Linked DNA regions of Saccharomyces cerevisiae S288C. Changing the gene in region 2 together with the main gene of any one other region gives a genetic interaction. Each region holds a gene or a part of one and is shown on either strand. Other genes may lie near its edges.

Region 1 (4,993 bases), on a different chromosome or scaffold from region 2:
TAGCAGAGGAGTATGTACAAAAAATGATGATGTATCCGAATATTAGAGCACTGACTGATGACTTAATGAATAGTAACGGGCAAGGATTTCTTAATGCAATCGAAGACTTTGTGCGAGATGGCCAGATACAAGCATCGAAAAAAGACGACAGCATCACTGAAGATGAAGCATCTAGTACAGATTTGACTGATCCAAAGGAGTTTACCACAATGCTGCATAGTGGAAAACCACTTACAGAAGATGAGTATGCCGACCTCCAGCGCAACATTGCTGAAAGGATGACTAATGCGTACGATACCGCAAGTAAGAAATTCAAAGATGTGTCACAATTAGAGAAGGAGCTATTTACACGATTCATGTCGGGGAGAGACAAAAAATCTTTCAGAGAGTTGATAATTCAATCCTTTAAAAATAAATTTGATGGGGAATTAGGTCCATCCGTTCTAGCAGCCACTTTAAGCTCGTGCTTTTCATCTCAATCGAAGGATACTTCGTTAGATACTGATTCTATATATGAAGATGAAGATGAGGAAGACTATGATGACTATTCAGAATATGCTGAAGATAGCGAAGAGGTTTCTGAGTATGAAGGAATAGAGGCAGTCGAAAAACCAGAGCATGATGAAAAAAGCAACGGGATACGTGAAACATTACATTTAAGTTATGACCACGATCATAAACGACAGAACCACCCTCACCATCACTACCATAGTACCAGTACCCACAGCGAAGATGAACTGAGTGAAGAAGAGTATATTTCCGATATAGAATTACCGCATGATCCTCATAAGCACTTTCACCGCGATGATGATATATTAGATGGGGATGAAGATGAGCCAGAGGAAGAGGATGAAAATGAAGGCGATGACGAAGAAGATACTTATGACAGCGGTCTTGATGAAACTGACCGTTTAGAAGAAGGTCGGAAATTGATTCAGATAGCCATTACAAAGTTGCTTCAAAGTCGAATAATGGCTTCTTATCATGAGAAACAGGCAGATAATAACAGACTAAAACTTCTACAAGAACTAGAAGAAGAAAAAAGAAAGAAAAGAGAGAAGGAAGAAAAAAAGCAGAAAAAAAGAGAAAAAGAGAAAGAAAAGAAGAGGCTGCAACAGTTAGCTAAAGAGGAAGAAAAACGAAAAAGGGAAGAAGAGAAAGAAAGGCTAAAGAAGGAATTAGAAGAGCGTGAAATGAGAAGACGAGAGGCTCAAAGGAAAAAGGTTGAAGAAGCCAAACGGAAGAAAGACGAGGAGAGAAAGCGTAGATTGGAAGAGCAGCAGCGGAGAGAAGAAATGCAAGAAAAACAACGGAAACAGAAAGAGGAACTAAAACGCAAGAGGGAAGAAGAAAAGAAACGTATTAGAGAACAGAAAAGGCTAGAACAAGAAAAGCTACAGAAAGAAAAAGAAGAAGAAGAGAGACAAAGATTAATTGCAGAGGATGCGCTAAGAAAACAGAAATTAAACGAAGAACAAACATCTGCGAACATACTTTCCGCCAAACCTTTTACTGAGAATGGAGTTGGCAACCCTGTTTCATCTCAATCACATCCCAACATGACTAACTACCAAGAGGATAATAGTTGCAGTATCAACGATGAAATACTTAAAATGGTTAATAGCGTGGCTGCATCCAAACCAGTTTCACCCACAGGCTTTAACGTTCATGATCTACTTCTTCCTTCAACTAACAACCAGATGCCTGCTATGGAACAATCACACTTGCCACAGCCAGGTAATCAAAACAACCATTTTGGAACTACAACTATTCCGAATGCGTTAGACTTGGCTACAAAATCTTCTTTACAGACTGAAAACAACTATTTAATGAACTCACAAACTCTGGAAAATACAAGTCTATTGATGCATAATAATTCATCGCCAACTAAGCTATTGCCAAATGACTTTGGTTTATCATCTTGGGGTGGTCTGACAAATACAATGTCCATAAATCCTACATGTAAACCACCGGTTATTCAAACTTCAGAAATGGAATCACAAGCCCATAAATCTAGTCCTCAAGCTACAATGCCATCTTTTGGACTACCTAATGGTGGTACTCACCGTAAATCGTTTACCGACGAGTTGAACACTTTAACTAGCATGCTTTCTTCTTCCGGGTTCGCAGATACATCACTTTCATCATCAGGATTCCCCCCATCACAGCGTTCTGTGTGGAATGATCAAAAAAGCTCATTTTCGGGACCGTCGACTGCAGGAAACTTTAACAACAGCAGTATACAAAGCGGTATGCTGCTCGCACCTACATTAGGAAGCGTTGAATCGTTTCCAAATCGAACTTCTATCTGGGACAGCAGCACCACTCCGATGATGAATAAATCCGAGCTTTCCGGTCGCAATATAACTAGTACTGCGCAAGATAGCCCTGCGTTCATGGCATCAAATATCTGGTCTAGTAACAGTCAATACAATTCACCATATTTGACTAGCAACGTCCTTCAATCCCCTCAAATTTCGAGTGGAGTGGATGAAAGCCACATTCTGGATAGCATCTACAATACTTATTTAGCTATTTCCCCACAAGATAGTTTAAACCCCTACATTGCTATCGGGACACTATTCCAAAATTTAGTAGGACTTAACTTGGATTACTCGACGTTTATCAACAAATTGATAAGCATGCAAGGAGCCTACAATTGCGAATTCTTTACTGATAACAATGGATCCATTACCCACGTTCGATTTGCGAGACAAACTCCCGCTGGCCACTCAAAGGGGTTGCTGAATCAACTCTTTAGTGGATTGAACGATCCAACTGCTACACCATTTACGTCAAGGCCTCATACCTCCACAAGGGCTAGTTTTCCAATTGCCTCTTCAACTACGCAAACGTCTTAAATTTGCTCCGGTACGCAGGGCCAAAAATATTTACATACATACATAATTCGACGAAATTTCAGAAGAGACACTAAACAATCGTACATCTCTCTACTCGATGTGAGCCACGCGTCGGTTTTTCTTACCGTCGTGGCTTTAGAGGTGAGGCTGCGACACCCCATACATCTTACCCGGCATTTAATTTCCATTTTTCGCAGGAATGTGAATATGATAATAGACTTCGGTACACTCTTTTTTAGGTATAACATATATCAATTGTTCAACAACAATTATTCAAAGCGCAACTCTCCAAAGGTAGTTATTCTGATAATTTGAACCAAAAGTCCCCAGATTAAGTCTTAATTAAACTGCCCTTGCATACCGCTGTAAACGATTTGTGTGCAGACATCAATTGCTGAAACGTTCTGCTTTGGTTGTGCTTTTGATCCCGTACTATGTCTGAAAAGGCCGTTAGAAGGAAACTTGTTATTATTGGTGATGGTGCTTGTGGCAAGACCTCTTTACTATATGTATTTACATTAGGAAAATTCCCTGAACAATATCATCCGACAGTGTTCGAGAATTATGTCACTGATTGCAGAGTTGACGGAATAAAAGTGTCCTTAACGCTCTGGGATACAGCGGGACAAGAGGAATATGAACGTTTACGTCCATTCTCATATTCAAAAGCAGATATAATATTAATTGGGTTTGCTGTAGACAATTTTGAATCACTAATTAACGCAAGGACGAAATGGGCGGATGAGGCATTACGATATTGTCCTGACGCACCAATCGTTCTTGTAGGCTTGAAAAAAGATTTGAGGCAAGAAGCCCATTTTAAAGAGAATGCTACCGATGAAATGGTTCCCATTGAAGATGCAAAACAAGTTGCAAGGGCCATTGGGGCCAAGAAATACATGGAATGTAGTGCACTGACTGGTGAGGGTGTGGATGATGTCTTTGAAGTAGCTACAAGAACCAGTTTGCTTATGAAGAAGGAACCAGGGGCTAACTGTTGCATAATTTTATAAAAAAAACTTACACTGAAATGATACATTATCTTTTTAGCAAGGGAGGGAAAAACAATACCGTATTATAATTTTAATCAAATTTCATAGATATAATGGAATAAGTTAAAAAGGCTTATCGATAGTGCATGTATAAAACACAAACCCATTCGATATGTTTGTTCGTTAATGTCCTACAGATTCTTATTCGAGAGCCTTTACCAGAAGCAAAATTTCCGACGGATATAAGAAAATGGCACATCAAACCATAGCTCAAGGTACTGCGCCGATGAGCTAAACGGAACTGCCTAGTTTGATTATTTTTCGTTTATATACTTATTTACTTATTTACGCTATTTGTATTCGAATTCCTTACGAGGCGATGAGTGAAAGACGCGCCAGTAGGACGCGTCTTTTTTTTTTCAGTATAATGTAAACATATTATTGAATTGCCGAAGGAGACAAAAAGAAAAGAAAAGAGGAGATCATCTTTCATATAATCCAACCACGTCGTAGAGCAAACCACGACAATTTTAACTTTCTGTTTCAGTTAAAGGAGTTTATAACGACCAGCACGGCTAACCATGTCAACTGAACCGGTAAGCGCCTCTGATAAATATCAGAAAATTTCTCAACTGGAACATATCTTAAAAAGACCAGACACTTATATCGGTTCTGTTGAAACTCAAGAGCAGCTGCAATGGATATACGATGAAGAGACCGATTGCATGATTGAAAAAAATGTCACAATTGTACCAGGGTTGTTCAAAATCTTTGATGAAATCTTAGTCAATGCGGCAGATAATAAAGTTCGTGATCCATCGATGAAACGAATCGATGTAAACATACATGCTGAGGAACATACTATAGAAGTGAAAAATGATGGAAAAGGTATTCCCATAGAGATTCATAACAAGGAGAATATTTATATTCCTGAAATGATATTTGGTCATTTGTTGACATCATCCAATTATGATGATGATGAGAAGAAAGTCACTGGTGGTAGAAACGGTTATGGTGCTAAGCTTTGTAATATATTTTCCACTGAATTCATATTAGAAACTGCAGATCTAAATGTTGGCCAGAAATATGTTCAAAAATGGGAAAATAACATGAGCATTTGCCACCCCCCAAAAATAACAT
Region 2 (6,823 bases):
TATAACCCAACATAGACCCTAAAATTACATCGACGAAATGATGTCTGTAATCTTGAGTTCTGGATAGAGCAATTAGTGCAGCTCCTAACAGTGGTAGAAAGGCCACCATTTTTCTCCATAAAGGCATCAACGGTGATTCAGTCAAAAGTTGCCCACATAGCCAGAAGTACAAATAACCCAGTCCTGCAAAGCTTTCACTTGAATGACCTGACGGAGTTGTCCTAAACCCATCCAACAGACGTTCGTGATTCTTAGTCGTACACACATCTTTTGCAGTAAATAAAGTGTCCAATGGCAAGCCTTCAACAGGTTGGCAACGATCTAGAAAATCTGGTCTTAGTCTTCCAATCCAATTCTTGATGAAGTTTGTAAAGAAACTCGTACTGAACCAAGCGAGTGATAAACCAAGGAGAGATGTGTACAAAATAAAAATCAAATGTCTTCTATCGGCCAAAATGGAACCAATTATCAATATGGTTAAAGATGGCACGACAAAACTATAAACAAACAACATGTTGTTATTTACACGTTCAGTTGTCGCATAAGGATGCGATATAGTGAGATCGTTAATGTAAAACTGACGTTCGAACGGTTGTTGGTAATACACTGGGTAGTTAAGAAGTATCATGATAATGAGCAAAAAGACATCTTCTAATCTCCATTTCGCCCCTATGTTGAAAGGCGTTTTAATAAACGAAACTCTGTTCATTTTGGTCGTTTGCTATGATTTAATTCTGATTCTTTGCCTTTAACAATTGATAACGTGCCCTTTATTGAACTGCTAACTACTCGAAAAATTGGACACAATTCAGTTTATAGCAGGTGTCCTTTAAGTGATGTTTGCTGATTTCCGAACTGCGCGTATGTTAGTGGACCCTAGATAACAGTTTATTCCCTAACGTTTCTAGATAATATATGACAAAAATATACAACCGATCGACAAATTATTTCTAAAATACAAAAAAGTTAGTCGTGAGGTTATCCAACGTTGGGTTTCTATCTATATATAAAAGCTAATCACCAAACAATTGAGAATCAACGCCGATAACATGATGTACAATTATAGCAGTATACGCCAGGCGTGCTGCATTTATTCTTTACCCTGTCATCGTTGACGAATACTTTTTTTTAAAGGGATCGCACTCTAACCACCTGAAAGGTACTATCTGAAAAAGTGTTGACTAAAAACAGAAGCGCCTTAATAATAGTGCACTACTGGAAAACTATATTTAATGTAAAAAAGAAACTACATTGAATGAAATCGAAAAGTATAATTTCTCTCCGTACCTGTGACTGATACAATGTAACGATGTAGACTAAGAATAAGATTCTCACTTAAAAGCTGCTATTTCAACTGATTATCTGCAGAGTATGCGATCACAAGACAGATCACAACTGTGTTTATCGGACATAATGCTATATTTTTGCTGCGCCAGAAATCGAGTACTAGTTTTTAAATATTTGTTCTAAACGGTCAAACTTTTCGTAAAAAATGCTATAAGCCGTGTTGTCCCTTTATGAAGAGCTGCTTCTTCACTTGTAAATAGCGAACAAATAAAGAAAACAATCTGCTACCTCTTTGTTAAAGTTGACCGCCTTGAAGAGAACTGCAAGTCTCTGAAAGTTTTAGCTGAATATTGTCACCTCTTTTAGGATTAACAGTAAGCATATTTTTTTCTTTGAGATTCGGAAGTAAAATACCCTCGGCGGCTAAATTTTTAGAGAATGTCAAACTTTTTTAGAGATAGTTCAATGGGATTCAAGCCTCGACCAAACATCTTCGCTAAGCTGAGAGTCAGAGATGTAGATTCAGATTCTTCCGCTAATACTGTTGTCGAGAATTCATCCAACTGTTTAGACGTGGGTTCTTCTATAGAGGGAGATGATACCTTCAAAAAACCCCACAAAACTTCTACCGAACAAGAACTGATTACAAGTATGAGCCTTAGTCAGAGAAACCATGGTTATTCTGATGATATGGAAATAGGTTCACCAAAAAAAACAACATCAACAGACCAATACAACAGAATTTTAAAAAATGATGTTGCCGCAATTGAAAATGATACTGATGAAGATTTTGAAATTACAGAAGTAAGAGAAGTGAGTGAAGGAGTAGCAAAAGAAACGAAAGAAAGTCATGGGGATCCTAACGATTCTGAGACAACTCTCAAGGATAGTAAAATGCATGAATATACTATGACAAATGGAAAGGCTCCTTTGCACACGTCCATCAATAATTCTAGTACATCTTCAAATGATGTCCTGTTAGAAGCCTTCACAAACACTCAAAGAATATGTTCAAATTTAAAGCAAGAGCTACAAAAGCAGCAACAGGATAATGCAAAGTTGAAAGTTCGACTACAGTCGTATGCTTCCAATTCTGATAAGATCAATGAAAAAGTCGGAAAATATAAATCTTGTTTAGAAACTCTTCAAGAAAGGATTGCAACGTTGACGAGCCATAAGAATAATCAAGAAACTAAATTGAAAGATTTAAGACAAAACCACCAACTATATCAGAGAAGGATAAGCGGATTTAAGACAAGTATTGAAAACTTGAACAAAACAATAAATGATTTAGGGAAGAACAAAAAGGAGGCGGATGCAGAATTAATGAAAAAAGGTAAAGAGATTGAATACCTGAAAAGAGAACTAGATGATTGTTCAGGTCAGTTGAGCGAAGAAAAAATCAAAAACAGTTCCTTAATACAGGAAATGGGAAAAAATAGAGAAGAAATGATTAAATCAATTGAGAATTTCTTTTCAGAAGATAAAGCACACCATTTACTGCAATTTAACAAATTCGAAGAAAGAGTTCATGATTTGTTTGAAAAAAAATTACAAAAGCACTTCGATGTGGCAAAAGATACCCTTAACGTAGGCTTGAGGAACACCACTGTAGAGTTGAGTAGTAATACAGAGACCATGCTAAAGCAGCAATATGAAGATATCAAAGAAAATCTTGAACAAAAAATGTCATCCAGTAAGGATGAAATGGCAAAAACAATAAATGAGCTGAGTGTAACGCAAAAAGGACTTATAATGGGAGTACAAGAAGAACTATTAACGTCATCAGGGAATATTCAAACTGCTTTGGTAAGTGAAATGAATAACACAAGGCAAGAGCTTCTTGATGATGCGTCTCAAACAGCCAAAAATTACGCGAGTTTGGAAAACTTGGTGAAGGCATATAAGGCAGAAATAGTTCAGTCGAATGAGTATGAAGAAAGGATAAAACATTTGGAGAGTGAAAGGTCAACTTTGTCTTCACAAAAAAATCAGATTATTAGCTCTCTTGGTACTAAAGAAGCACAATATGAAGATTTGGTCAAAAAGTTGGAGGCGAAGAATATCGAAATTTCACAAATTTCTGGCAAAGAACAAAGTTTAACTGAAAAAAATGAAAACCTTTCTAATGAACTGAAAAAAGTCCAGGATCAACTAGAAAAACTCAACAATTTGAACATCACAACAAAATCAAATTACGAAAATAAAATATCTTCTCAGAATGAAATTGTGAAGGCTTTAGTTTCCGAAAACGACACTCTGAAGCAAAGAATTCAACAGCTAGTAGAAATCAAAGAAAATGAACAGAAGGATCATACAACCAAACTGGAGGCTTTCCAAAAGAACAATGAGCAGCTACAAAAGCTAAACGTCGAAGTAGTACAACTGAAGGCTCATGAATTGGAGCTTGAAGAGCAGAATAGGCACTTAAAAAATTGTTTAGAAAAAAAGGAAACTGGTGTTGAAGAATCACTAAGCGATGTAAAAACCCTAAAACAGCAAGTGATAGTTCTGAAATCGGAGAAGCAAGATATAACAGCTGAAAAGTTAGAACTTCAAGATAACCTCGAAAGTTTGGAAGAAGTCACCAAAAATTTACAGCAAAAGGTGCAATCGCAAAAGAGGGAATTAGAACAGAAGATTAAAGAGCTAGAAGAGATAAAAAACCATAAACGGAACGAGCCTAGTAAAAAAGGTACACAAAATTTTACTAAACCATCAGATTCACCCAAAAAAAATGCTACGACGTCCAACTTATTTCCTAATAACTCTGCTGCCATTCACTCTCCTATGAAAAAGTGTCCTAAGGTGGATCATATAAGTAAGTCAAGAATTAATTCATCCAAAGAAACATCCAAATTTAACGATGAGTTCGATCTTTCTTCATCATCAAATGACGACCTAGAGTTAACCAACCCTTCCCCAATCCAAATTAAACCAGTGAGAGGAAAAATCAAGAAGGGTTCAAATTGCATGAAACCTCCAATTTCTTCAAGAAAAAAATTACTACTAGTAGAAGACGAAGACCAGTCATTAAAAATAAGCAAGAAAAGGAGAAGGAAATAGAGGATAATGGAAAATTTGAAATCGTTTTGTGCGAATACATTTCATTTTGTTCCCTGCGTAAGAAGTATGCATAGTAAAATTAGCGTAGATATAGTTTTTTGAGGTATATACTTATTCATAGCTTATAAATATTTACAGTGTTGTAACTCTAGTAAAAACAAAAGAGGTCATCTAGATTGCATTCTCCTTATTTTATCACTGATATCGTCTTCTTCAAGAAAGTGCAGGATCTTGGTGCACGACTTAGGATCACCAACTTTCTCAATATGAAGTACTGGTATGTCGAAGCAATATTCCTTCCACCATTTTGCGTTTCTTCGGTCAGTTATGTTGACTATCTCTAGTGAAACTGCTTTATTATGAAATTCCTTTCTTTCAAATACATCATCTATCACTTCCTTTGCTTGATCGCATAACCCACAATTAGGCTTTGAGAAGAAAGTTAATTTCACTCCAGCATCATGTAACAATACCCTCGAAGTATGTATAGAACAGCGGAACGCTCTCAACATGGTGATATGTTCCTTAAGTTTTATGTCTTACTGAATAATTACGAATTTCTGTTATGAATTAAACGAAACTTTACAATGCATCAACTCCGAACTCTCTACGGAAAGGTAACAACTTGCGCACATCATAGACCCATAAAGCGAAAAAAAGGGAAGTCAATCACAGTTATATTGACATTCCAAAGCCAGTAACTAAAAAACTACAAAAATGGATTCTCACAGTCATATTAAGTGACCTCTTATTATTTCCCTTAAAACGGTAATTCTTAATAAAGAACGTCAGTGTTCCGAGTGATAACGCCGTGAAGCACCCTGCTTCATTACATATGAAATCGTGGGGAGAAAAAATCGTGAAAACAATATAGAGAATAAGTGAAGTTGAAGCTCCACAAGCCCTTGTAAAGTAAACTTAGATTGAAGCGATGGTATTAACGAGGCAAGTACTAGAGGAAGTGGAGAACACATTTATTGAATTACTTAGGAGTAAAATAGGACCTCTCGTAAAATCGCACGCAGGAACAAACTTTTGTTCATATGATGATAAAGCAAATGGCGTAGATTTGGTAACTGCTTTAGACAAACAAATTGAATCTATAATCAAGGAAAATTTAACGGCCAAGTATCCCAGTTTCAAATTTATCGGAGAAGAAACTTATGTAAAAGGTGTCACGAAAATAACTAACGGCCCTACATTTATTGTTGATCCCATCGATGGTACTACTAATTTTATTCACGGTTACCCCTATAGTTGTACATCTCTAGGTTTAGCTGAAATGGGGAAGCCGGTTGTTGGTGTGGTTTTCAATCCTCACTTAAACCAACTATTCCATGCTTCCAAAGGCAATGGAGCTTTCTTAAATGATCAGGAGATAAAGGTTTCAAAAAGGCCATTGATTTTGCAAAAATCCTTAATTGCTTTAGAAGGAGGTTCGGAAAGAACTGAAGGTTCCCAAGGAAACTTTGATAAGAAAATGAATACTTATAAAAACTTACTAAGTGAGTCCGGCGCCTTTGTTCACGGGTTCAGAAGTGCAGGAAGTGCTGCCATGAACATATGCTACGTAGCGAGCGGCATGCTTGATGCTTATTGGGAAGGTGGCTGCTGGGCTTGGGATGTTTGTGCCGGTTGGTGTATTCTTGAGGAAGCAGGAGGAATAATGGTTGGCGGAAATTGTGGAGAATGGAACATTCCATTAGACAGAAGATGTTACTTGGCTATTAGAGGTGGATGTGAGTCGATGGAGCAGAAGCGATTTGCAGAATCGTTTTGGCCTCACGTTGCGGGTGAGTTAGAATACTAAATGCCCCCCTCAGGTGTCGTTAAATAAGCTACATCTAAGAAAAGTTTATATAGTACTTCACGCAATTCCTACTAGTATTTTTTTCCAGTACAGGACGATATCTTGAAGCAGCAACTTGATTTCACAGGTCACTTAGTGTGGGCTTCTGACTCAAGAATAGCAAGTATTACATGCATGCGGCCCTCTCCTTTAACAGCGCGATATACGTGAAGAAAAATTTCAATGAAGAGTAATGCGCTTATTATCAACTTCGATTGAAGGGGTCCTATATCAGTATGCTACAAGGGAAGGTTGTTCGATAAACATAAGCTTCTCATTAGCATGAGTTCTATAGATAATGACAGCGATGTGGATTTAACAGAAGATTTAGCCGTGGCCAAGATCGTTAAAGAGAATCCTGTAGCTAGAAAAATGGTTAGGTATATTTTATCGAGAGGAGAATCTCAAAATTCGATCATAACAAGAAACAAGTTACAATCTGTTATACATGAAGCTGCTCGCGAGGAAAACATAGCAAAACCGTCTTTTAGTAAAATGTTTATGGACATAAATGCTATACTGTATAACGTATATGGGTTTGAATTACAAGGATTGCCGTCAAAAAATAATATGAACGCTGGCGGTAATGGAAGCAATAGCAATACAAATAAATCAATGCCT
Region 3 (5,678 bases), 650 kb from region 2:
CTGAGAATAAGTGCACATTGGATGGGAAAATTTCGTAAAAAAAACTCTTGTAAAGACAATTGTTTCCTTAATAGCTATTATATAATCCAATTTGGTTAGAGTTTTGTATGCCGATTATTAACGTTACCCAAAAATAATACTGTCATACATCGGCTTGTTCTTGTTCGGCTTGTTTAAAGAAAAATTGAACGTAATAAAGTTTTGATATAGCATCCCAAAATGTACACTTTTTATTTAATTCATCTACTCCATCGTTATTATTGTCCATGTCATTGTTTTCGCTGAATAATATTTCGTTTGGAGGTAGCTCAATAGCAATATTTTCAAAGGGTTCATACGCAATAACGAGAAATTTTTTTCCCTTCTGTTTGGTATCTGATAGCTCTAAACCAGATACAATCCTAATGAGAGGAGGGACTTTAGCCTTATCATCGCTATCGACACTATTTTCTTTGACTTCACTGCTATAATTTACCTGGATAGCCAAACCTACTGAACCGTTCTTCGGGTTTTTCACGGTAGCTATTTTACAAACAGGGATCGTACCGTTATTCTTTAAAGATTGCTTAGCTTCAATTATCTTTTGTTGTTGTCGGAAATCATGAGTTGTTTGGCCTTCTCTCCCTAGAGAACTTTTCTCTATACTGATACCACGCCTTAACACATTTAAACCATGTTTTTTACCACCCAAATGCCTTTCAACGCTGGACCACGACATGTGCATTGTATTACATAGTTTACAAACCAGTTTACCGGAATGATTCTTGTAAATGTACGGATTGGACCTTACTTGATCGTCCTTTTCATCTTGGAAAGTGTACGGGACATTTTCGCCTTTACTAAGTAATGATTCGACTTCTTTCCTTCGTTGTAAGTTAAACTGAGATTCTGAGGCTATACCACCACCTCCTTTCTTTGACCCAACGCCTTCTAAATAGTTCATTTTGAATGTATGGATGCGTTAAATGATTTGAATTTGCTGTTCCACCTGCCCTTCTTACATTAAGCTATTTGTGAGAGCCTTGCGTCTTTAGCAGATTTTTTTTTTTCATTTTTTTAGTGAGATGGGCGGTACATGTAATATTTCACCCGGTACAATGAAAATAGCAGAATGTAAATAATATTTGACTACAATAATTGAAAGGAAAACAAAATTGTTTGCCATACTATGTAAATTGATATTAATTTGGCACTTTTAAATTATTAAATTGCCTTCTACTTAGAGGGTTTTGGGATGTTCATCTGATGTAACGACATACACGCCCTTATCCTTCTCTTGGCATTTAAAGTTCTTGTTCTTCAAATCGTTCCATTTCTTATGCGGAATCGTCCAGCCACATTTTTGGGCTACCATAGCTGCAATGTCATCACAGTACCCCAAAAGAGATAAATCAAATTCTGCGTGCTTGACGGGATCACGATTAATCAGGACTTGGGGAACGTGGGAAGGAACCATGTTTACGATTTCAGACACTGGCGCTACTTTTAAACTTGTCCCAATGCAAATCAACAAATCACATTCTAAGATATCTTCGCGAATGCTCTTATGAAATTTATTTGGCAGTGCTTCGCCAAAGAATGTGATATCTGGTTTGAGAACGCCATATGAGTTAAGGATATATGGAGGCCTTTCCGACATTGAACCCTGTGATGCAGCAACACCTACTTTATTATTATATCCCTCTGGGAAATATTCTCTTCTTTTTTTGTAACAGTACGGGCATAGTGGAAGTTCGAGGTTTCTAATTTTATTAAATATCCTCTCACCGGGTAGGTTCCAATGGCAGGTAACGCAGGTGGCAGTAGCAAAAGAGCCATGGCACTGCACCAGTTTATCTGTGCTTATTCCCGCATAAGATTCCAAATTATCAATGTTTTGAGTATAATTTCTCAATAATTTCCCTTTCATTTGTAGCATCTTAATGAAACTATGCAATGGAGAATAAATTTTTTCTGGAGGTAAAACCATATTGGCAATATTATAGAAAACAGAGGGGTCGTGCATAAATATATTGTAATTGAAAACGTCTTGGGGATCATCGAGCCCCAAATGTTTGATCTTTGAATAGAACCCCTCAGAAGATCTGAAGTCCGGGATCCCTAATGAAGTTGAAACACCTGCACCAGTCAGGACCAAAATTTTTCTAGCGGTATGTAATTTTTGAATAAAATGATCAATAGTGAAAAAATTGGATAATCTTAATCTTGTACATAGAACTTTGTTAATTGCTCTTTGCAAATCTTTGATTAGACGAACTGTTTGCTTTTTTGCCAATGGGTCTTCAACATTTGTGACAGATATTGCACTTCCCAAATCTTGAACACGCTCTTGCGAGTTGATATGGACAATACTGTTGATGGTGCCGATAAGCGCTTGATCTTTAACTTCAAAGCCTAGCAACTTGATAAGATAGTAAATGTATAACGAGTTCAAATCCTCGGGGAGGTAAGTGTCTAAAAATTTGTGTGCACCATAGTATTTCAGAAACATTCGAGCATTGAGAGACTCTCGTTTAGTGAAGGAGGGACCATAGAAAATACCATTTGATGGGTTTTTACTGATTATGATTGGCCCCTTGGGCGTCTCTGGTTTCAAAACGTCATTGGACATTGACACTACTGAAGCTGCTGACACTGCCAAGGGATCCATGTCATTAGTTGGTTTGAGCTCCATCGATGCCACTTCTCCGAGCGCAGCTTTAGTGTGCCCAAGTGGATCTGTTGTGTTGGTTTCCCTCAAGGAATCCGGCTGTGCTACTTTTATCTTCTTATGTGAAGGTTCATCATTATTTATAATGTCATCGGGTTGTTTTCTGATCGCGTCTTTATCTTGTGTGGGGCTTACTGTATTTGAAACCTTATTTTCGCTAGTCTTTGATACGGCGTATTTCATATGTGGGATGGTCATCCAGCTTTAATGTGCCGATGAGGGAAAAATGGTTTGAATGTGTCTACCGAAGCGATGCCTAATTTCTTGAAATACGTGAGAATGGGCTTTACATCTCTTCACTAAATATATTTTTCTTGGGTGGTGAAAAAGACAAGTCTTTCAAACTATGCGACCTAGAAAAAAAATATTTTACCGCAACTGGCGGCCAAAGAGGACAAAGAAAAATTCCTCGTTTTTTCTCTGAGATGGGAAAGCAAGAATTTTGGCAAGAAAAGGTCCTGGCTGTCCTGGACCATGGTTGGAAGGAGTGCTAGATGTAGCTTGGAAAAGAAATGACCTATAACAATGTATCTTTTATGAGCATATGCGCATGCATATAAGCATATACATAAAAAATATATACATAAATTAAGTAAGAGTTAATTGACACATTGAGGAGTTGCAGGCTACAAGTAATACTGTAGAATTTCGTTCTGGGAGTGAGGCTCCAAGGGAGAAAGACTGCTAATAATCATTTCTTTCAAATTAGAGCTTCCGATCGGAACATCATCGCGATAGCGATACAGAAATAGCAGGCCATTTATATCATTCTTACCGAATTTTTCTTGGTAGAAATTCAGCCAATCGAAGCTATTGTTAGATATTTCGTTTAATGGGAAATTTTCAGAATACTCTTTTTCAAGGCTCTTCGTGACTACTTTCTTCAAAATTGGATCAAAGGGGGTGTCGTTTCTTGTGGCATGTAACAAAACAATGGCCATACTACCAAATAAACCGCTCGTGGTGCCAAATCTCTTAGCGAATTTGTTTAGAGAAGCAAAGCACAAAGCTAACTTTCCAATTCTGTAGTTAAATTCAAAGTCCAAAATATAATCCCTTTCGTCTTCTCTGACTTGCATGGAGTAGTTATTATAAAATTCGGTAGCGAAGTCCTCCATTGGAGTGGAGGTTTCAATCAACTTTTCGCCGAATACATCGTTATCTTGATCACTCGGATAAGCAGCAACACTCTTGGCTTCAGTTTCTTTCCGTTTGTTCATAGCGGCTGCTTCCTTCTTAGCTTTTTTCTTTTGGCTGCTACTATTTTGGCCATTATTTTGGATTTCATCTGAATTTTCATCTAAAGAATCGGACTTTCTTTTTAAGCGATCATCATGCATTTGAAAGTAAAGCTTTGATGCTTCCTTCATTGCGCGAACATACATGGGTTTGGTATAAAGTGCCTTTCCCCATTCTAACATCTCCAGATAGGCTCTTGGCGTACCTTTTCTCATACAGTATGAATGGAAATCCAACTGGTCATCTTCGAATTGTTTATAAAACTTTGGAATAGCGTTGAATCTTTTCAGCGCCAAACCTTTATATTTGCGAACAAGCCATTGGTTTTCTTTGATATCATTCGCAATTTGTTCGCTTTTATCACTTTCAACCTCTTTTTTTAGCGATGCTAAATCGTCTAATTTCTTTTTTCTATCCAGGTATAGTCTATAATAGGCTTCTGCCTGTTCTACGATGAACCAAGAAGCTTCCACAAGGTGTAAGTCCTTAATACCATTAACAGAATCATCGTTTTTGGTGAAAAGGGACGCGACTTCCACCGCCTTGTCGATATTGTTAGCCCTTAAAAAGTACTTAACCGTTTTACAGTTGATAAATCTATCCTGCAAATCAAGTTGCCTACCTTCCTCCAAAATTCCAGCCGCTGTGTCCATTAGGCCTAAGTGCTTCAGGATACGTGCCTTGAGGATGTAAAACTCAACTAAAGTTGGGGTGTGGTCAAGGGCAGCATCAATATATTCTTGGGCTTTCGGAAAATCCTTAAGGAAAAGGAAATGTTGAGACAAGTAATAATTGGTCCAAATAAAAGGAATTGGATCCTGCGTAGGATCTAATCCGGACAAATAATCAAGGACAATTTTCTCCAATAGTGGTGAAACCTTGGACTTCCTTCTTTGGTAAAGGGGTTTCACGTTGGAAAAAGTTGCTGGAACACCGCGCTCCAATTGAGGCAAAACATATTCTCTCAATTTTTTGCTGAGCTCTTCTTTGTCTTGAAGGAAAGTTAATGGAATAAATTTGGGTGGTTCGCATCTTGGATAAAATTGTTCAAGTTTTCCATACAAAGCCTTCTTCAATTTATTGTCACCTTGGATTCCCAAGGATACTTCCAGTAATTTGTAGTACTTAAAATTATCTGGATTTCTCTTGATCAGAGTTCTATAAACAATGGACGCGTCTTTCAATTGACCCAATTTCATGTAAATAGTTGCTTTTCTCTCTAATAAACCAAATTTATCAAAGACGCATGGCTCGATATCATTCAAATGTTTCAATACATTTTGTAACTTGTCTTGGTTATCACTGGCAGCTTTATACATAATGTCGTTTTTGTACATTAAACACTCGCTGTGTTCATATTTCTCGGAATCAGATATTTTTCCCTCAGCGAGTTTTTCAAACTGAGATAAAGTGTTAATAGCTTGTTGCCTCTCACCGTTCACATCTTGTGCCACAGCCAATGATGTCCAGTTGGCACGGTAACCAAGGAATGCTTCCCAATATTTTTTCCTGGACACTAAAGCATTTTTGAAATCGCCAATTTGTGATTGCAAAGTTGCTAAGTCTCTATATATTTGCTTGTTAGTGGACCCATTGTTCAAAGCTGCCGTGAACCATTTAATAGATTCTTTGTACTCTTTGGTGTTTCTCATGTAGATACCTAATACATGACAGCAGATTGGTGATGCTGAAGCGCCTTCAATTTTTCTGATGGCATTAGCCACGTAGG
Region 4 (5,484 bases), on a different chromosome or scaffold from region 2:
TACTGGAATCTCAATGATTATCAGATTACTCACGAATTTCTTTAATAGAATAATGAATGATACCATACAAAATGGAAAAATAAAAATTATAAAATTTTCATGTACAATTACAGATTCCTTTTTGGGGATTTCTATATTCTCGAGGAGGAATTTTAATGCATTCCGTATGCCCATTAATATGGCATTTGATAACAATGAATCCCAAAAACTGTTCCAAGATTCATATATTTCTCGCACCCGTTCCCCTAAACTTTATCCCATCTTAGCGGGTTGAATCCACGTTAACGTTCCACTAGTAGATTTTCCACTTCTGTTACACTTACTGCGCAAGTGGCTCGTTTATCGTTTATTTACTTTGAAACAGTGCGACGGCACTACAAAGGAGCGCGTAACAAACGTTACTATCCCGTTTCATTGTTTCAGATTATCACCATAGTTACATATGTAGGGAATGGCAACCAACCTGTTCCAACATTCTATTCAGACCGAGAAAATCCAGTAGGACTTAACGGTGGTTCCGAAATTCTATTTATATCATTGCTATTAGCTTTATGTATATTGGCAATTGAAGCGGTTCTTCTTCATGACATAATAGTCCATCAACTGTTCGTGCAATTGATACAAATTAATTTTGAAGGCAATATTTAAGTTTGGTTTTCTTACGCAGAATACTTTTTAAAGTATCAACTTTCGTGCATCAGCTTCTGTCAGGTTCAATGATTGTTTAATTCTGGTCTTCAGGTCATATAATTTCACACCATTTTTTATCATCGCTTCTTGAAAATTCGATGTAAGGTAAATAATAGCTTCAGTTTGTTGCATGAGTAATATGCGGAAGATAACTGATTGTTATTTTAGCAGAAATCAATCAAGATGAAAATATCCACTACTTCGAAAATACGTAGCAAGCCAAGTTCAATCGGTAATCTATAGGTTCGGCAAGAGACTTTGCAATGCTAATGTTTACATTTCCTTGCCACAGTTCTCGTTGGAAACAAGCCTAATGTTAACGTATTTTCACCCGCATTAAACTACAATTGTTTTGGACGTAAGAATTTACAGCGCAATTGTTCTTTTCTATTTTATCATTACGATTGTTCCAAGAGCTTCTTGCGTTATTTACCATATATTCTTGATCTATGAATGATAATAAACAAGAGTAAATGAATGTTTTATATGTTCATAATGACAACAACTGGGGGGGAAATGAAAATATTTATCTTCTATTCATAGTAAAAATAATCTTAAAATTGAAACTAACGCTGAAAACTGCAACAGTTACGGCATTTTTTATTGATGCGTAAAAGCATTGTCTTTGTCAATTTTTGAACTATCGAATTGCTCCATAATATCATTCATGGTGTTATCCAATTATTTAGTAAGCTTCGCTTGTACTCAGTCATTTTTTTTTTTTGCATCCAATTTTATTGAAAGTCCGCCCGCTCTGTTAAAAAAGGCGTTTCTTCCAAATTTGAATAGGACACGATCGAGATTCCCTCCGATTAATTATGTGCTACTGGCTCCTCTTTCGTCGTATTGCAAGTGGACTTTTCAACGAGGCTATGCATGCCCAGTGTCATTCTTGAAGCAGGCACACACAGACGCGCTTCAATTAGTTTTCTTTACTAGATGCATCATTTGGGCGGTTTTTCACTACCGTTTTCGAGTAGGGGCTCTCACAAAACGGGCACGACCTTTTGTTTACAACCGCCCAAAGAGGAAAAACATCAACAATCAAGAAGCGGACACAAAATATAGAAGCACCATAAAACTCACGTCAACGGTAACTTTAAATTTGTTGTATTAATTAATCATTTTCAACTTGCATTTTTACAGCATCATTTATGGGTATCCTGCAAGTTAGGTGCGGAACGTACATAACATATTACTTCAATTTGCGTTCCGCATACGGTCTGCCCAATTTGTTTTGTTTGTGATTTCCTCATTCGTCTTCCTCTGCAGAAACGGGTTTGATCCTTCTTTTATGAATACGGCGTGTAGTTATATATATTAAGTAATAGAAGTTATTGCACTTCTGTGTAAGAAGAAGATACTAGGGTGATCTATTCTAGGCAATTTTGGTTGTATTGTGTTTTTTACATTCGGCCAAACTTGAGCAGGCTGCAATTTTAGTGTCTTCGGTTTTTCCAGCGACAGTTTTACTTGTGGCTCTTGGTATAGTTTCTTAAAACTATTAAAGTTGCTAACTGGTGCAGCTGTTTAGATCACAAAAGCGTAATTAAGAATAAGATCTACCAACAAGAACAGAGCCAAAATATTTTCGTCCGTTATATCAACCATCAAAGGAAGCTTTAATCTTCTCATAATGTCACGATCCCTTTTGGTAGAGAATAGTAGAACCATTAATAGTAATGAAGAGAAGGGGGTAAACGAAAGTCAATATATCTTACAAAAGAGAAACGTCCCAAGGACCATTCTCGGTAATGTCACAAATAATGCAAATATCCTGCAAGAGATTTCTATGAACAGAAAAATTGGGATGAAGAACTTCTCAAAATTGAACAACTTCTTTCCTTTAAAGGATGATGTTTCGAGAGCCGATGACTTCACCTCCTCTTTTAATGACAGTAGACAGGGGGTGAAACAAGAAGTACTAAACAATAAGGAAAATATTCCTGAATATGGATATTCCGAGCAAGAAAAGCAGCAGTGCTCAAATGATGACTCTTTTCATACGAATTCGACTGCCTTGAGCTGTAATCGGTTGATATACTCTGAGAACAAGTCTATTTCCACTCAAATGGAATGGCAGAAAAAAATAATGAGAGAAGATTCCAAAAAAAAAAGGCCAATATCAACTCTTGTAGAGCAGGATGACCAGAAAAAGTTCAAACTCCATGAATTGACTACAGAAGAAGAGGTTCTGGAGGAGTACGAATGGGATGACCTAGATGAAGAAGATTGTGATGATCCCTTAATGGTGAGCGAAGAGGTTAATGATATCTTCGATTATTTGCATCACTTGGAAATAATCACATTGCCAAATAAGGCGAATCTCTATAAGCATAAAAATATTAAGCAAAACAGAGACATTTTGGTGAACTGGATAATCAAGATTCATAATAAGTTTGGCCTTCTGCCGGAAACTCTATATTTGGCCATAAACATAATGGATAGATTTCTTTGTGAAGAGGTGGTTCAGTTAAATAGATTGCAACTGGTTGGTACATCATGCCTGTTCATCGCATCTAAGTATGAGGAAATATACTCCCCTAGCATAAAACATTTTGCGTACGAGACAGACGGTGCATGCTCTGTGGAAGATATTAAAGAGGGTGAAAGATTTATATTGGAAAAACTCGATTTTCAAATTAGTTTCGCTAACCCAATGAATTTCTTAAGGAGAATATCAAAAGCGGATGACTATGATATCCAGTCTAGGACGTTAGCGAAGTTCCTAATGGAAATATCTATAGTGGACTTCAAGTTCATCGGGATATTACCGTCATTATGTGCCTCAGCGGCAATGTTCCTTTCGAGAAAAATGCTGGGCAAGGGCACCTGGGATGGCAACTTAATCCATTATAGTGGTGGTTACACAAAGGCAAAACTATATCCCGTTTGCCAATTACTGATGGATTATCTTGTTGGATCTACTATTCACGACGAGTTCTTGAAAAAATATCAATCGAGAAGATTTTTAAAGGCTTCCATAATTTCTATCGAATGGGCATTGAAGGTAAGGAAAAATGGATATGATATTATGACATTGCATGAGTGAAGGTGCTAGCCTACACAGAAAACCAAAATCTCACTTCCTTACTTTATCATCTATTTTATAGAAAAATCAGGCATTCATTATTCATATAACGGTTATCTCATATATATTATCACACGGTATCAGTTTTGTAGGCTGTAATAATTAATTCATTTATAAATTTTTTCTCCCATAATTGGAAAATTATCTTTAAAGTGAGGAATAATGCATTTTCTTTCTTTTTTTGAATACATAAAAGAAATAAAGAAGTATGTCTATCGATGATATTTAAGATGCAGGGGGTTAGCTGGCTATAATTTTGATCTATGTTTCAACGTTTTTGTTTACACCAGTCAAAAACCTTGAAATAAACCATGCCATGTTTAGGCTTTTTGTATTTAAGTCTCAAGGAATCTAGATTCGTATCAGGTACAGCAATATCTTCAACTAGTTCACTGATAAAATCCTTAAACGCTGGATCTGATTCAATATCAATGCCGCCACTATAATGAATAAAAGTTTCATCCCATTTGGAATTTTCATTTTTAATTTTTCTGGCGATATACATGGACATTGCAGCTAAATATGATGGCTTCAGGTGGATGAATTTATTACAACAAATCGAATATTCCATGATGAATTTGGCCATGTTCCTTGTTTCAATGCAGTAATTGTCAGCTTTTGAAATTCTCCTAATGAAATTTAGGGGGTTTGGTAGAGATATGTTATAACCTAAAGAACTTAGAACGAATAGCTCAGCCTTCCTAATTCCTTCGACAGTGGCAGCACCGTCAGTCACGTACGCAAAATTTGTTATTTTTGGTAATTTAACTTCTTCAAATTTACAGGCAATGAACAGGCAAGTGATGCATAGTAGTTGTAATTTATTCAATTTAACAACATTTTGTGATAAAAATCGATCTAGCAGGTTGATCGCTAAAAATAATGTTTCAGGTAAGCAGTGAAATTTCTCATGAACTTCAACCAACCAGTCAATTAACAGCGCCCTCATGGAGCTTTTCAAATGATAGGGAGATTGCGTGTCCATTAAATAGTTATGTGTCGGTAGCATTTGGATTTCCTTCTCGTAAAGATGAGAAAATATAGAATCTGTATATTCTGCTACCATGAATGGATCATCCATCTCTATCGAATCCAAATTTTTCCATTGATGACATTTTATTTTTTTCACAGTTTTTGGCTCTATAGGATCGGTTGAATCATTTGATAATTGTCTCTTTCTTGTTTTTTCCAAATGGGTGGAATCTCTTTGCAATTTACCTCGAGGGAGTTGTAAAGAATCGATTTTGTTACTGTTTACCTCGGATAGAACTTTTTTTTCATTCGTAGAGTGAGGTGTCAAGTTAATTGAACTTTCTCTTGGAATGGTATGGAAAGCATTTTCCTTGCCTATACAATCTTCATTATTAATTTGGATTTTCCTTTCACTAATTGGACTAGGGATACAATTCATTTTAAAAATTTAAAAGGAGGGAGAGAATATCAGAGAATAATAATTTTCAACACACTGATTTGTATGTTGTATGAACGCTAGATTAGTGAAGCTTGTTATTATTTAATAAAAGATAAAAGTCACTTGTATGAAATGAAGCAGTTATATATATGTTAATAAGAAAAAGGCAAAAACTTAACCCTAGCAAAAAAGGTAATCAATGTGCTAAAACGGTAAATATTTAAACGCAGGTTGCGAATTGCCAATTGCCAATTGTAGGATACACAGGGAGAGTAGAAACAACCAAGTCCTG

What was found.
Region 1: mutations in ZIP1 (region 2) and RHO2 together harm fitness more than expected from each alone (negative genetic interaction), as found in Saccharomyces cerevisiae (2 studies listed by BioGRID).
Region 3: of ZIP1 (region 2) and SIR2, changing one suppresses a phenotype caused by changing the other (phenotypic suppression), as found in Saccharomyces cerevisiae (3 studies listed by BioGRID, with this or other methods).
Region 4: of ZIP1 (region 2) and CLB1, extra expression of one rescues a mutant of the other (dosage rescue), as found in Saccharomyces cerevisiae (3 studies listed by BioGRID, with this or other methods).

What each region holds. Positions count from the first base shown.
Region 1 is NC_001146.8:453,270-458,262, forward strand, and holds RHO2 (Rho family GTPase RHO2), read left to right. Parts: upstream 1-3,295; coding exon 3,296-3,874; downstream 3,875-4,993. Other genes in the region: NST1 (Nst1p), read left to right, coding at 1-2,861; TOP2 (DNA topoisomerase 2), read left to right, coding at 4,435-4,993.
Region 2 is NC_001136.10:1,030,711-1,037,533, forward strand, and holds ZIP1 (Zip1p), read left to right. Parts: upstream 1-1,725; coding exon 1,726-4,353; downstream 4,354-6,823. Other genes in the region: DPP1 (bifunctional diacylglycerol diphosphate phosphatase/phosphatidate phosphatase), read right to left, coding at 1-709; MGP12 (Mgp12p), read right to left, coding at 4,521-4,865; inositol monophosphate 1-phosphatase INM2, read left to right, coding at 5,285-6,163; Smc5-Smc6 complex subunit NSE3, read left to right, coding at 6,485-6,823.
Region 3 is NC_001136.10:375,538-381,215, forward strand, and holds SIR2 (NAD-dependent histone deacetylase SIR2), read right to left. Parts: upstream 2,909-5,678; coding exon 1,220-2,908; downstream 1-1,219. Other genes in the region: spliceosome assembly protein PRP11, read right to left, coding at 143-943; peptide alpha-N-acetyltransferase complex A subunit NAT1, read right to left, coding at 3,337-5,678. UniProt on the Saccharomyces cerevisiae protein: NAD-dependent deacetylase, which participates in a wide range of cellular events including chromosome silencing, chromosome segregation, DNA recombination and the determination of life span.
Region 4 is NC_001139.9:701,310-706,793, forward strand, and holds CLB1 (B-type cyclin CLB1), read left to right. Parts: upstream 1-2,326; coding exon 2,327-3,742; downstream 3,743-5,484. Other genes in the region: B-type cyclin CLB6, read right to left, coding at 4,050-5,192. UniProt on the Saccharomyces cerevisiae protein: Essential for the control of the cell cycle at the G2/M (mitosis) transition. Interacts with the CDC2 protein kinase to form MPF. G2/M cyclins accumulate steadily during G2 and are abruptly destroyed at mitosis.